Linked DNA regions of Nothobranchius furzeri. The protein of the gene in region 3 purifies or fractionates together with the protein of the main gene of each other region. This does not show direct contact. Links are inferred from orthologs where the notes say so. Each region holds a gene or a part of one and is shown on either strand. Other genes may lie near its edges.

The links.
Region 1: the proteins of sik2b (region 3) and ppp2r2ca purify together in Homo sapiens (affinity purification with mass spectrometry; 3 studies listed by BioGRID and IntAct, counting the BioPlex papers as one, with this or other methods). This does not show direct contact. The link is inferred for Nothobranchius furzeri from reciprocal best matches to the Homo sapiens genes SIK2 and PPP2R2C.
Region 2: the proteins of sik2b (region 3) and ppp2r2aa purify together in Homo sapiens (affinity purification with mass spectrometry; 3 studies listed by BioGRID and IntAct, with this or other methods). This does not show direct contact. The link is inferred for Nothobranchius furzeri from reciprocal best matches to the Homo sapiens genes SIK2 and PPP2R2A.

The regions. Positions count from the first base shown.
Region 1 is NC_091747.1:78,432,717-78,438,105, reverse strand, and holds the start of ppp2r2ca (protein phosphatase 2, regulatory subunit B, gamma a), read left to right. Parts: upstream 1-1,563; 5' UTR 1,564-1,852; intron 1,853-2,280; exon of another isoform or gene 2,281-2,367; 5' UTR 2,368-2,514; coding exon 2,515-2,578; intron 2,579-5,088; coding exon 5,089-5,186; intron 5,187-5,270; coding exon 5,271-5,389. Other genes in the region: hpf1 (histone PARylation factor 1), read right to left, coding at 211-394, 1,004-1,153. UniProt on the Homo sapiens protein: The B regulatory subunit might modulate substrate selectivity and catalytic activity, and might also direct the localization of the catalytic enzyme to a particular subcellular compartment.
Region 2 is NC_091757.1:37,258,171-37,263,125, reverse strand, and holds part of ppp2r2aa (serine/threonine-protein phosphatase 2A 55 kDa regulatory subunit B alpha isoform), read left to right. Parts: intron 1-2,614; coding exon 2,615-2,779; intron 2,780-2,999; coding exon 3,000-3,169; intron 3,170-3,256; coding exon 3,257-3,348; intron 3,349-4,955. UniProt on the Homo sapiens protein: Substrate-recognition subunit of protein phosphatase 2A (PP2A) that plays a key role in cell cycle by controlling mitosis entry and exit. Involved in chromosome clustering during late mitosis by mediating dephosphorylation of MKI67.
Region 3 is NC_091753.1:40,037,428-40,043,155, reverse strand, and holds the start of sik2b (serine/threonine-protein kinase SIK2), read right to left. Parts: upstream 3,853-5,728; 5' UTR 3,636-3,852; coding exon 3,498-3,635; intron 908-3,497; coding exon 791-907; intron 1-790. UniProt on the Homo sapiens protein: Serine/threonine-protein kinase that plays a role in many biological processes such as fatty acid oxidation, autophagy, immune response or glucose metabolism.

The DNA.
Region 1 (5,389 bases), on a different chromosome or scaffold from region 3:
ACCCAAAACGGAGAAAACGCAGATCTTCACTTTGGCCGGAGTTTTTAAAAAGATCCGTTTTCGTGTGAAAAAACTCAGTTTTCGTGTGGATGACAGGCCAAAACATAGAAAAATATCTACGTTTTGGCAGATCCCCGGCTACGAGTGGACAGGGCCTAAATCCCAGTTGCAGCTTTAGTCCCATCAGTGGTGAGAGCAGTCAGGACGTACCACAGGGGTTGTCGGGACAAAGCTCCTTGCAGAAATCCCAGAAGTGGAACAGATCTTCTGGCATTTGTAAACCGTACAGCCGGGTCAACTCATCCCGCTGCTCTGGATTCCTTTCTGACAGCAGCACAGGTGTGGACTCATCAGTCCGGACCCTCTTCACCTCTCCATTGGCTGAATCCGACCCCTAATGAATCAGAGGAAGAAAAGAAAAATTACAAGTTTTAGTTTGTGGACCCAGGTTACACCATTGTCACTCCTGTCTCAGCCTGTTGCTGCTCTCTGATTATTAATTATATTAAAGTTTAACACCCTCCTGTTTCCTATGGCCTCCATAGTCACGGTTTGTTTTATTACACAGGTGCACCAGTGGGCGTCCTGCGTCCCCAACACCTAAGGTGTTTTATGCAGGTTGAACATTATTATAGTAGCTGAACAGAGGTAGCCGTGAGACCATCTAAAGCTCAGCTTTTATGGATAAAACACACATGCACAAGTTATCCTGCAGGGCACGCGACAGGTGACCCATCTCAAACGCTCCAGATGCGAACGCACGTGTCAGAAATGCGAAGCGGACACGATTAGACTGGAAACACAGTTTAGCAGAGAAGCAGCTGCTGCCATGTTGTCTGGAAGCGCCGCCGCTCACTCAGCTCCAGCGGTTCAGCCCGATGGTCTCACACAGATGTACCCGGAAAACAGCGACACCAGACAGAAGTCTGCGTTTGCCCCGGAGAGCCCGACTTCTCACCTGACACGTTCAGCGCAGGAAGCTTATCGGAGGAGGAGAAATTACCTGAATAGCTTTGGGTTTTCTTTTTGCGCGCCCTGTCATTTTCTTCCTCTCGTCTCGTCTTCTTCTTCTGCAGATTGAAGACAGTGGTAGAGGGTTCACCGTGACGTCGTGCGTCAGTGCCCCCGTGAGGCGTGGCGGTGTAAACATCATCAATTTTACACCTAAAGACACACACACACACACACACACACACACACACACACACACACACACACACAAATATATATATATATATATATATATATATATATATATATATATATATATATATATATAAATATAAGAAAATAAAAATAAAAAACAATAACAGTTAGTTTTAATAATTAAAATCATCCAATGAAAGGGAAAATACACATTTCTATGAATTAAGTTTTAAGTTGACTCAGCTGTTTAATTTAGACAATAAAAAAATGAATGCAGTCTCATTTTAAAGCGTGGCTGGCCCCACCACGCTCCATTCTCATTAAATGTCTCCCTCTGCTGGTCGCCCCCCCACCCTTCACCACCTGCAGTGGGTGGAGCCACCAGTGACAGCTGTGCTGTGATAGGCTTCTCCTAGAGGAGGCTGCCATGACACACGGTGGATGCTGCACAGAACAACATCCTCAGCATCAGCAATCCAGCGCTCCTGCATCCTCCTCCTCACTGTCCCTCTCTCTCTCTTTTCCTCCTCCTTTTTGCCTCTCCTCCTCGTACCACCACCCTTGCTGTCTCTTTTCTCCTGCTCGTTCTCCCTTCCCTTCGGCGGACACACACTCACACACGTCGAGGCCCTGCTTGAGCACACTGCAGCAGAGGGACGTGTACGAACACCAGCAGCAGGATCAGCAGCAGCGGGTGGACTGGTAGGTGAGCTGTGGCCTGAACCCCCCCCCTCCCCTTCTTCCTGCAGCACAAGCAAGACAGCGCGTTCTCCTCTGATCTCTGTCAAGGACTATCTATCTGAGAAGTGTGTGTGTTTGTGTGTGAGGGAGACAGAGGGCTGGGAGGACTACCACACCCTGGGATCATTTACAACCTCCGGCACAGCAGAATGAATGTTTGATGTTTTTATATAATCTTTGCTCCATCCTTCTCTTCTCGCTGAATGCATGCAGTTCCCCTCGGATGGATCTGTTTTCTGTGTCTGCTTGTGATGTTTGGTTTCCTGTTTTAATTCCACAGTACATGAATTCATTCAAGCACATGTTAGCAAGAGCACTGAACATGCAACCATTTAGGAAGTTAACTAACTACATCTTTCATGTTTTCCTTTCCAAAACCCTCTTCAACATCAGGCCATCCACCCCTCTCCTCCACCTTCTCGATTCAATCCTGTTTATCTCTTTCCTCCCTCTTCCTTACACAACTTCTACTCCTCCCAGCTGGTCGCTTTTCCCAGGATGCCTTGCCTCAGGCCACTACGGTAGGCCCCAGCAGCATGGGCGGAGCCTGGGTGGGACGAGATATCAAAGATTGGACCCTTCCTCTTAGGACGGGTGTGGTGGCGGGTCACCTACCTTCAGCTTCAGATGGGCGAGGACGCTGAAAACCCCAAAATCAACCACACCTTCCTGCGAGACTACGTCACTGAAGGTGAGTTGGGTTCACCTCTAGGGTCGGATTAGAGTGACTGAAAAAGGAAACTTGGTTTTATTTTTTATTCTGACAAACTCTGATCTTATTTTGCATCTTTAAATTCTCAGGCTGAAGATAGAAATGTGGTTAGGAGCTTTAGAAATAAGATAATGTTTTTAGTGATTCTAAATTTTATTGATATTTTATCACAGGTTCACTGTTTTTTATGGATCTTATTTATGCTTTCTTTTGAATTGTATTTACTAAGACACCGTCCGGCCCCCCAAAAAGTCAACATCAAAAGAAAAGGTTCACACACTAATATTTCATTGGACCACCTTTAGCTTTGATTACAGCACACATTCGCTGTGGCATTGTTTCAAAAAACTTCTGCAACGTCACCAGATTTATTTCCTTCCAGTGCTGCATTCATGTTTCACCAAGATCTTGCATTGATGATGGTTGAGTCTGACCGCTGCACAAAGCCTTCTCCAGCACATCCTAAAGATTCTCATTGGGGTTAAGGTCTGGACTCTGTGGTGGCCGATCCATGTGTGAAAATGACGTCTCATGCTCCCTGAACGACTCTTTCACTATCTGAGCCTGATGACTCCTGGCATTGTCCTCTTGGAACATGCACGTGTCATCAGGGAAGATGGAATAACCTGGTCATTCAGTATATTCAGGTAGTCAGCTGACGTCATTCTTGGAGCACATCCTGCTGCTGAACCTAGACCTGACCAACTGCAGCAACCCCAGATCATAATACTGCCCCCACAGGCTTGTACAGTAGGCATGATGGGTACATCACTTCATCTGCCTCTCTTCTTACCCTGATGCACCATCATTCTGGAACAGGGTCCATCTGGACTCATCAGACCACATGACCTTCTTCCATTACTCCATAGTCCAATCTTTATGCTCACTAGCAAATTGAATCCTTTTCCCCAGGTTTACCTCACTGATTAGTGGTTTTCTTACAGCTATACAGCTGTTTATTCCCAGTCCCCTGAGTTCCCTTTGCATTGTGTGTGGAACAGGGGCAGACTGAAAAACATCCGAGGCTTTAGTCCTAGTAGCCAGCCCTAACCCCACCCCTTGTGTGGAAATGCTCTTAGTTTCACTGTTAAGCATAGCCCTGACTTCTACTGTTGATTTAACCAAACGGGAAAGCACCGCAGATCACGTTCATTCTAGATTTTTCCCCCCAGCTACATTTCTTCCTCGAAGACGATGGGTCTCCACTATTCTTTCAGTCTTTAAAAATGCGTTGGACAGTTCTTTAACCCAGTTTGGGTCATTTCTACAATCTCCTTAGATGCTTTCTCTGCTCGATGCATGCCAACAACCCTGACCCTTCTCAAACAGACTAACATCTTTTCCATGACCACCACATGTGCCTTTCCACATGGTTGTTTAAGAAATGAGAAGCAACTCATTTCACCAGCTGGGGTTAAATAACTTGTCATTAGCTGAAAGATAATCGCCCATGCAATTTTCCAATAGGGGGCTCTTACCTCAGGCAGCAGTAGCTCACAAGGCTCTCTCTAACCTTAACCCTACCCTAACCCTAGACGTGTCCACCATCACCTCTCTGAGTTGCCCAGTAATTGGAGGGTTGCAGGTTGGATCCCAGCTCCCACCAGAGAATGCTGCTGTTGTGTTATTGGGCAAGGCATTCAACACGCCTTGCCTGCTGGTGATGGTCAGAGGGACTGATGGCGCCAGTGTTTGGCAGGCCTCGCCTCTGTCAGCGTGCCCCAGCGCAGCTGTGGCTACACAGCTCATCATCACCAGGGTGTGAATGTGTGAATGACTGATTGTGTTGTGAAGCACCCTGGGGGCTTGTAGGACCCTAAGAAGGCGCTGCTTAGTTAAATCCAGATGTGTATGTTCTGTTTGGTTACAAATCTCCGGATTGAAGGTGTAGTTCTTCATTCTCAAGGACATAAAAACGTTGTTCGATAGAGCTTTGTTAATATGAGCTAGTTTTCTATCGACTTCCTGAGGATCTTTGCGGTGCTTTTTTCTCCTGGTCCACATGTGAGATGTTTTGGTCCTGAAGCTGCATGCTGTGAAACTAATCTAGATCCAGGGCTGCATTTTTAAATTTGAGAGGGCAAAACCACAGAACTCCTACTTAGTTTAATGTTTTAAATCCCTGTTTCTGTATTATGTTTTATTTGTGGGCCCTTAGATCAGCCGACCAGGTGCTTTGGGCCGGTTGTATGTTTGTTTTCTGTTTTTTAATGTTGTTTATTTCATATAATTTATCCATTTTATTATTGTAGATCACTTTGGTTTAACTTGTTTCTTTTCATTTTCATTATGGCTTCTTCAGCTCAGCACAATTTATTTAATTTCTCTGACCAAACTATGAATGTTTTGAAAGAGGATTCCTCGGGTTCAACGCAAAACATCTCGAGGACAAAAAAGGATGTATACTTGCACCATTTACCCTGTAGCTATAAAATATGTCTTGATGTTTTTATTCCAATCATCATCTCATTTTCTTATGTTCCTCCCAGCCGATGTCATCTCTACGGTGGAGTTTAACCAGACGGGGGACCTGTTGGCCACAGGGGATAAAGGTGGCCGAGTGGTCATCTTCCAAAGAGAGACTGAGGTCAGGTTACTAAGTGTCCAGCTCAGTTCTTGTATCTGAACACAGAGTGTTTAGTAAAAGTCGTGTTTTCGTCTCTTTCTTTAGTCTAAAGATGAGCTGGAGGAGGCAGGGGAGACGGGGGACTCAGGGGAGTACAATGTCTACAGCACGTTTCAGAGCCACGAGCCAGACTTCGACTACCTGAAGAGTCTGGAGATTGAGGA
Region 2 (4,955 bases), on a different chromosome or scaffold from region 3:
AAACTCAAAATTAGAATATGGTACAAAAGTCTGTTTATTTCAGTGATCCAACTTAGACTGAGAGACTGTCTAAAGGCTCAGGAACCCTTTGCAGGTGTTTTGGATTCATTTGAGATTTCTGAATGTGGGGTTTTCATAAGCTGAAAGCCATAATCATCACAAATATAACAAAGTCCTGAAATATCTGACTTTGCATGGAATAAGTATCATGTATTACAATCACCTAAAGGATTATTAGGAACATACTAATATGGTGTTTGACCCACTTTCACCTTCAGAACTGCCTTAAAGGGGTATTATAGAAGTTTGACAGCCAAAACATGTATAGAAATAATAAATTTCTTCTTCATACATTCTCCTGCAATGCCCTGGTCCTGTAGAATGAGCCCTGACATTTTTACTGTGATTGCCTGTTTTTCTGTAAAATCAAAGAAAAAGAGAGCTGCTCGGGTCGAGCAGGCTGCTTCTTGAACATTCACGCTCAGGCATCGCCTGTAGCATTTGCCATCAGTAGCTTTAGCAGCAGAGAGAGAGGTAGTGCCAACTCAGCGACTTTGTCGCTGTTCCTAACGCCTAGTGATAAACCTAGCTACATTTCTGAGGACCCTTAGCTACTTTCTTCTAGATATTTCCTGCAAATTAGCAACAAAATAGCCATTTTCGCTCCGAACCGTTCTTTGACCATTGTTTCAGCTGTTATCAACGATATAAATGTTACAGATACAAATGACGTCACTGGTGCTTTAGCTCACCTAGTAAGATGTTGGACTCTCGTGCAGAAGACCCGGGCTTGATTCTCAATGTGAATATGGTTTAGTTAAGAGTTTATTTTTTACATTGATGGTATATTTTTTTACAGTAAGATGCTCAAATTTTTATTTGAGACTCACCGAACGGCATTGAATTCACAGATAAAAAAGATGTGGGTTCAACTTTCATTTTGGATTAATTTTTCAAGCAAGGGAAGGGAATTATCTGAGCATGCAGGAAGACTGACCCATCATAAACCTTTGTTGGCTGTGCTGAAGAGAAAGGTACAGAACCAAATCATTTAATTAATTAGCTGCATGTTGTCCTGTCCTCTGTCCTTTGGGCCACACACACACACACACACACACTCGGGACTGTCTCAGCTGTTATTTTCGTTAAGGAGTGTGCACGTACAGCATGCGCGCCTCGTGCACGAGCCTACTATTGAAGCTGCTGTTACGCTTTTGACCTGAGGGAGCATTCGCGAACATAAAAATTCAAAACACCGTAAAGTCCCTTTAATTCTACATGGCATTGATTCAACAAGGTGCTGAAAGCATTCTTTAGAAATGTTGGCCCATATTGATAGGATAGCATCTTGCTGTTGATGAAGATTTGTGGGATGCACTTCCAGGGCACGAAACTCCCGTTCCACCACATCCCAAAGATGCTCTATCGGGTTGAGATCTGGTGACTGTGGGGGCCATTGTAGTACAGTGAACTCATTGTCATGTTCAAGAAACCAATTAGAAATGACTGGAACTTTATGACATGGTGCATTATCCTGATGGAAGTAGCCATCAGAGGATGGGTACATGGTCAGAAACAATGCTCAGGTAGCCTGTGGGATTTAAACCAAGCCCATTTGGCACTAAGGGGCCTAAAGTGTGCCAAGAAAACACCCCCTACACCATCACACCACCACCACCAGCCTGCACAGTGGTAACAAGGCATGATGGATCCATGCTCTCATTCTCTTTATGCCAAATTCTGACTCTACCATTTGAATGTCTCAACAGAAATCGAGACTCATCAGACCAGGCAACATTTTTCTAGTCTTCAACTGTCCAATTTTGGTGAGCTCGTGCCAATTGTAGCCTCTTCATTACTATTTGTAGTGGAGATGAGTGGTACCCGGTGGGGTCTTCTGCTGTTGTAGCCCCTCCGCCTCAAGGTTGTGCATGTTGGTGCTTCACAAATTCTTTGCTGCATTCCTCGGTTGTAACGAGTGCTTATTTCAGGCAAAGTTGCCCTTCTATCAGCTTGAATCAGTCGGCCCATTCTCCTCTGACCTCTAGCATCAACAAGGCATTTTCGCCCACAGGACTGCTGCATACTGGATGTTTTTCCCTTTTCACGCCATTCTTTGTAATCCCTAGAAATGGTTGTGCGTGAAGATCCCAGTAACTGAGCAGACTGTGAAATACTCAGACCGGCCCGTCTGGCACCAACAACCACGCCTGTCATATTTTTATATCACCACTAGATGTCTCCAAGCTAAGATTTGAGTTTTTTCTTTTTTTGAATCCTCAAAGTTTTTAACAATTTTTTGCTCTTTCTAATCGTTTTCCTACCTTTGATCTGGAATCGGCATCAAAAGATTTTTCAAACACAATTTCCTGATTTAGCTGCAGGAGGAGAAAGGATCCATGCAGGAATGTCTGCAAGTGAGGAAGCATAAGTACGAACTCTGCAGGATTTTCTGAAGCATTCATAGTAAGATGCAATCTCAAAACAGTGCACATTCCACAGGAGCAACATTAAAAACCGCAGTGTTCATTTGTACATCTAAGTTTGTATAAGAATTTTCTTTTCAGTTGTAGAAATATCTGTTTTGGCTTTCACCTTAACCTGAGTTCTTCAGATATTGTTGACATTAAACCTGCCAACATGGAGGAGCTGACAGAAGTGATCACAGCGGCGGAGTTCCACCCTAACCAGTGCAACACCTTTGTTTACAGCAGCAGCAAGGGAACCATCCGTTTGTGTGACATGAGGGCATCAGCTCTGTGTGACAGACACACAAAATGTAAGTCTGTGTTTGTGCTGCAGGTCTGCTGCCAAATTTAGCTTTTTGCACATTTTAAAGTGTTTTATTTAATTTCTTTTTCTTACTCTGATTAAGTCATTCATCTTTTCAGCACTGAAATTTTTAAACTGTTGCACGGTTATTTAGAAACTGTTTCCTGCCCTTGTTATTCAGTTTACATCTGTATAATCTATCAACATGAATGTGTTTGCCTTTTAAGTGTTTGAGGAGCCTGAAGATCCAAACAACCGTTCGTTCTTTTCTGAGATCATCTCATCCATCTCTGATGTGAAGTTCAGCCACAGCGGGCGCTACATGATGACACGTGACTACTTGTCGGTCAAAGTTTGGGATCTCAACATGGAAACGCGACCAGTAGAGACATATCAGGTCTGTAACTGATGACGTGGGCACACTTTGGTGTTTTCTTAACGTGATTAAACGAAATGTTACTTTCTGATTGTTGTGTTTGAACAGGTGCATGAATATCTCAGGAGTAAGTTGTGTTCACTTTATGAGAACGACTGCATCTTTGACAAGTTTGAATGCTGTTGGAATGGAAATGACAGGTGAGCCCTTGCTATTTTTATTTGTGTAACCGGATTACAGGATACAATAAGATAATTAAAAGAAAAAATAAACAAATGGGCCAATAATTAGGTTCGGGGAGAATTGGAGGTTGTTTAAGAATGACTGGAGTCACGGGTATAGCATGAAACGGTTTATATACTAAATTTTAATAATAATGGGAAATATAACGCATAAAGATAACACACAAAAACAGATGAAAACAATCGACAACAGTAAAATGCTCGGTATGAGATTTGATCATATGAGTCACAAGTCAGCCGGCGTCAAGTCAAATCCCCACGCTTGGGGTGAAAGTCAGAGTCCGGTGGTGCGATTTTTTCCTACCGCACCGTTGAGATTGTTCACAGAAGAGAGCAGTCTGCTCTTCAGTTACTTGAGATGTCCTGGTTCGTTCAGTGGTTAAGGCTCGCCATCTCCCTCGTCAGGAAGAAATCCAGTTCTCGTTCCAAGTGAGTGATCATAGGAGTCGGGATCAAACCCAAGGAAAAAAAAAAACCCAGCCTGTAAACAACAGGACTGTTAGCAAGTTGGCATCGACCCTTCTCGTCACATCACAGCATAAAGTCTTACAGACTTAAACAAATGCTTCACTCTATTGGCATAGCCAATCATGTTTGGGTTCACAGTTCAACTAACATAACATCAATTTGATTGTCTATTAAAATAATTCTCAGTAGCTCTGGAAATATAATTACATATGACAACAATTGTTCAGCTCAATAGGCTCAGTTAGATTCTATTACTCTACACTATTCGACAAGAAATGCATTCATGACAACAAGGATACATTTAGTTGTGTTTCTATACAGCATTGTGACACCTTGTATATCTGTAACACAATAAATAAATAAATAAATAAACAAACAAACAAATAAATAAATAAATAAAATTTTCTATAACAAAATTAAACAAAATATAAATTCTGGTCCTTTGGTCCACCTTTGTAAAATAATTCCTCCCTAATCAGTTAGCTTTTATTTATTTTTATTTATCTATTTTTTTATTATTAAATGTTTGGTTAAGGGACGCATTGCTAATTCTATGGCGTTAGCTATAACGCCCCTGAGGACCTTGTACATCTAGGCCGTACCACCATTAACTGGCGGTTTGAGCCGTTAACTCCTGGGAATCCCATATGCCCTACCGCCGTTAACTGGCGGTTTGAGCCGTTAACTCCTATATGCCCTACCACCGTTAACTGGTAGTTTGAGATGTTAACTCCTGGGATCTAATGTCTAGCAGCCCACTGCTGTCACCTCGGTTGCTGTAATTAGCTTTTTGAATTTAATAATTTACTGAATTTAATCTCATTCACTCACCAACGCGCTCCAACGGTTCCCTCCTACAGAGGATTGGTTCACTCTGTCGTCTCCACACAAATCTATAAGAATGGAATTAATTTGATAAGCTATTTAAGTTTCCTTTTTTTTTTAAGTTGCATCGTTAGCTTTTTCTCTTCTTTTTTCTTTACTCACCGCGTTGGTTCCAAGTTCCTAGCTCTTATTAGAAGGAGTCAAGTCCGCCTCTCCCTCTATCTATGCGGCACCCAAATCAGGGTTCTTCACGGCCTCGACCGTTGTTTTTT
Region 3 (5,728 bases):
TGTCTGGCTTACTATCATCTCAGTTTCAGCTGAAAGTGTCGATCCATCACAGACAACTCAAGGCTAAACGCGGATATGATCTAAAACTAGAGCAATTTTCTTTACTGGGAGTGTATTAGGGTTACAAGTAAGTCAGTTCAATTAAATTTAAATAAAAAACAAGAGGCTGTTTCAAGGGATTTTATCATAAGAATCTCAACAGAGCTCAAATATATCCATGATGCTGTGCGATCAGTATCCGACCGAGCACATGACAGGATTTAGAGTCAAGCTAAACATTTCCGATCGAGCCAGACAGGAAATCAAACACAAAAGTAGAGTAAAGCATCTGGAAAATTTCAAATGAAAAGATCGGTGCAGATTTCTCATCGTTTAACGATATCAAAACATACATGTGTCACCTCCTTGACAGGTAAAAAGCACAGAAAGTAAACCACAGACCTCTGGATACATTTCACCTTGATTTTTATCACATGAACTGGTGAAATCACACTTGAGATCTTGGCAGTTCTGTGGTTCCTTGATTTCCACGTCTGAAAGATTTCCAGTAGAAACGGAACACCTCTGAGGTCGCAATGAAAACGCATTTATTACGTCAAACGCCACTCAGGCATCCAGTGGAAAGAAACAATAAAAAGATAAAACGGAGAGACGATAAGACACAATAGATCAGATCAAATAGAGACATGGTGAAAGTAGAATCCAACACTTCTGAAAAATCACTCATTTGTTTACATTTTTTTTTGACAAGTCGACAAAAGATGAAGATAAAAAGGTACAAAGAACCAACCTGATACAGCTTAATGATGTGGGGGTGGTCCAGCATCTTCATGATCTGAACTTCCCTGTAGATTTTCTCCAGGTTCACAGCGTCTAGCTGGGTCTTGTCAATAATCTTAATGGCCACCTGCAGAAACATCAACCATCAGCAATACAACAATAGTCAGTTCCTTGATGACATGTAGCTGAGGTGCTTGTTTAGGCTCATGAGAAGTGATGAACACAAAAACTAGCCGCAGTGCAAAACAGTAATTCAACAAACATAAAAACAGGACACTGTGTTCCTTTTCTAGCTTATTTTTGTTTTAGCTTTTTCTACGAATCGAATGATGGGATTAAAAATGTTCGGAAACCGTCTTGACCTTTAATCCAACAGGTAAATACATTCCTGTCACACTCACGGACATGAACGAATGTAAACAGCATCTTCGAACCCTAAACATCACGGGCATTTGTTGCTGAAGTCTGGTGGGTAACAAGGCAATAATAGCACCTCTCTGCCTGACTTTCTCATAAACAACAAAATCACCAGTGTGATCTGAAATGCTCCAGGCATCTGTGAGCCAAAAGGAGAAGTAAACAGGAAACCCCAGATCTCTGCACTCACACCACCGTTAGGTGAACTTGAACATTTGAGATGAAAGTCTGCCAACAAATAAAGCTGATCAGGGGGAGCAAATTTCAACCAACCAAACAAAAATCCTAATTTTCTTTTTCATAATGATTAATTTAACATTTATTTGGTCTTTGATCAGTTAGACTTCTAAAGGTTGATCAAATGGCGACAGACTGTGCAGCGATTCGATCCCTGGATGTTCGTTTTATCCTCCATCTTTATTCAGAGATATCCATCAGATCTACTCTGTTCATATTACAAAGGAATGTGTAGCTGCACTGGATGGCCACCTGATGCAAAAGCATGTTGCAGCAACAGATGAACTGATAAATGATGCCTGTATTTGTTCCCTTAACCTGTCTGCTGCATAAAAGCAGAGGTATTAGTCAAATAAAGAACAGTGCTGCATTTTCGGTTTTGTGTTTACAGTGAGCTTTAATTTGCTTTCAGTGGCAGTGAAATCTGTCACTTATCTTGAGCTTCCTTCAGCATATCTGACGTTGCTGCTCAACAATGAGCAGCTGAGGGAGTTTTAATAGGTTTAACACTCCATTATTATCTCCCTTGTCACGACACAGACTGGCATGCAGTACTGTATGGCATTAAATCCTGCAAAGAAATCTAAATCTTATAGTGCTAACTTGCAAATTTTACATTTCTGATGAATGCATCTTCGGTATTCAAACGGACTGTGCTGGAAACAATACTGAACAAGCACACAAAGCAAAAGACAACTCTTTAACTCTGCGAGTGCAAGGCCAATTGGAAGAAAAGGAGTTACAATGGGAATTTAGTGCCTCATGAAATAGTAAAAACAGGAAAACTGGACAGCGCTTAGGACAGACGTGGATCACTGTTGGACCAAAACTATGCAAACAAGTGGCAAAATGTACAAAATGAGACAAATAGGTCAGTTAGAAAAAGTAGGTTACACACATGCACATAAGCAACCCACCTATCTAGGGACGTGTGTGTGCATGAGCACAAGTCAAATCTGCTGTGTCATGTGTTATTAAAACATTAGTTTACTGCCCACACATGCAACAGGCCTGGCATCACTAGACCTAGAGGTAAATGGCTTCAAATAAATGTTCAGAATCTCTCTCTCCAATAACCTTGGTCATATGCTCCATGTGACCTCCTCTAGCAAATACCAAATACACGTCACACATTTTATCCACACAGCCAAACAGATGAACACACCAAGTGTCGCACAAGACATTTTCTCTCCCTGTTATTCATTAGTCTGTCTGAGTGTCTCTGTTTTTCTTTACAGTATAATCAGCAAAAAACAAACTGCACAGATCAAAGATTAAAATCCTTAACTTTTATTTTTACAAGTCTTTAATCTTATGTTCAGAACACACCCCAGCATGGCTTTTGTAGTGTGATCACTGTTTACAGTAAATTCCCTGTCTCTGTCATTACAGCAGAACGTCATGGTACTCCATGGTACTGCTTCAGTAAGCCCTTTTCTGCAGAGAGCTGACAGATGAACTGTTTCTTATGTGCTCGAGCTGCAGCGACTGAGAGCCTGGAGTGTTTGCGATATCAAACCCCTTTCCAAGCTATGCAAGGACTCAAAAGAGTCGGTGCATGCATGCCTGCAGAAGACTTTGCTTTCAGATTGCAGAGACGTGGCTGGCTGCACTGCTGGAACATCGCATCATTAGTTGGATTACATAATGAGACCACCAACTCCTTCTGCATCCCCAGATACTGACATGTCTTTTTCTTTGACACTGGGTCATTAAGTGAGAACAGGTGTATGATGTCAAGTCCGGTGTAAAACCGAGTGTGCATGTTTACAGTGTGTTTCCCAGCAGCACTGGCGGTCAGATCTCTTACTGGCAGTGAAATCCCGAGAGGGATGGACGTGCTGAAGCTCACTAGCTCCTGTACCTGCAGGGTCCGAACCTGTGGCAGTCATGTGGCCGCCGGCTGTTCAGCCGCCGCCCGACCAGAGTTTCTATTAGTGTGTGATGTCGGGACAGAGCCCCCCTGTCCACCGCGAAAGCCTGGGGTGTCAACTTAAAAGTTATATAACTCAATAGAACAGTAGCCCAAAGTTAGCCTTTGGGGCTAACAAGTTCGCACTCACCTCGGTCTTGGTTATGCGGTGTCTAGCCAGCTTCACGACAGCGAAGTTGCCCTTTCCTAAAGTGCGCTCGATGTCGTAGAAGCCCACCCTGACCGGACCCCGAAACAGCGGTTTCTGGACATTGTCAGCCATGACCATGCTGTTGTAAATGGGAGCTGTTTCGGAGAGTTCTGGGGGGGTAGAGAGAGACACGCGGAGGAGGAGGAGGGGGACCCACGGCCAGCTAGAGATAAAGACGAAAGGAAAACAAACCGCCCGCTGCCACCGCCGCTCGAAGCGTGTCCATTAAAAATAGACAAAGTTGATTTCTGCGTCGCCCCGCCGGCTCACGCGCCAATGTGGCGGCTCTCTCCCTCAGCGCGACAGGCCATTAGCGGAGCCACGGGGCTGTCACACCACGTTCTCCGGCACAATAGAGTTCTAATATTTCAGCCCGAGGTGCCTCTATCTGCTACAGAGCACACGAGTTGACTTGCAAAGAGGCATCATGTTCTCTGGTTGACGTGTATTGACGTCAAAGCCATAGGGGTATTTGTACAGGAGGCGGAGCCACGGAGCGACTCCACACTTCAGTGCCAATTGGTTGCCACGACAACCAGACCCACCTCTTACGTCAACCGGTAAAATTGCTGTTCTGAAATCTGTTTGCTCGCCTGGCCTCTTTGATTGCACGCATAGGTAACTTTGAAGTCCTGCCCTGCAGGTGTTTGCCGAGCGTTTGTCTGCTGCAGCTTCAAAAATGCAAGAGAAAAAAAATGTTAATGAGAGTCATTTGGTGCATTTAAGAGTGGCGTGAAACGTGCACCTCTTTGTAGGAGATAAAAAAGTGCTCTAATGTATTAATATTAATAGAGGAAAAAATGAATACAAATATATTCTGCATTTTATGTTAAAACATCTCGAATTTCGAGTACTTTTAACATGATTTAACATGAATTAAAAAATGCCAAAAATGGAAAAAAAACGCAAAAGTAGTTCGAAAATATATATCACAAATGCCACATAAACACAGACATTTTAAATAGTAAAGACACCTCTGATTGCCTGTGTAACAGCACCACCTGTCGGTGAAACAAAACAAAAAACAACACATGGGCCACACATTTCTCCTTTCCACTTCTTTGTACTTAATTATCAACCGTTCTAGTAATTACATTCAAACACACACACACATACATCTAAAGCATCACACACACTCCAAATTATAGTTATACAAGTACAAATGCAGTTAAATTCACCCATGTTATTATCAAATAAGGAATGTGACCGCAACATCTTGTAGCCAAACCATATGGAAATGACTTTCATGCCTAAAACACAGCCCACATTCACACTCAGAGAGTGTTCTCTTCCGTTGCCCTGTCACAGTGTTTAACAGAGCAGTGGACTGCTAAGCGAGGCAAAGGCCTCCGCTGTCACGCTCAGACTTCCTTAATGTAAGAGTTCCAGATGTGCTTTTGGCATTTCCTGTCTAACGTTCTCCAAGAACACACTCAGCCTCTCCTTACTGGGATTGCTGCATCTCTCCAAATCATGAAACCCAAACAGCCCACGCTGAGTATATGCTCAAGGATTTATTTTAAGAAATATGCATCTGTGTTATTTTTGCAAAATTACATAGGAGGCACACACTTGTTCAACTGACTTTGAGAGATCAGTGAAGGGATTGAGCTTCTTACAAAGACAAAAAAATAAATCAGCAATCCAACAGCAATAAGATCTATTTTGGTCAGCAGAGTTCTGTCATCGCTGCTTCCGAATGTACTGTCCTGTTCCCTGACACCAGGGTCCAAACAGGAAGCTCTACACAGGAATGACAGAAGGTTGAAATACTCCCATCACATCAAAGAGCCAAAATGATGCTTTTTAGACCCCAACCTTGTAACCTTTTGTTCACGTGTCACAGTAAATCCGGTGACATGTTCTATAAATCTGTCACTTTGGACTAATTGTGAATTGTTTACAAATGAGCAACCTTGTGGAGGTCCTTACATTTATACTTTCAGGGTTGCATGTAAATTCTCCCAGTTTGAGCAAATCTAATTCAACCTTCATGCGTCTGAAAATCAATAAATTTAAAACACCAACAGGAAATAGTTTAAACCTGGTGGCTGCACATATAACAAGTCTGTTAGCTTTGAAGTTCTTAACATATTGATGGTCACAATAAGCGGAATGGGTCACAGTTTCAGTCTCATTCCCTTGTTTTTATGTTTTTATTTCAAATGCTT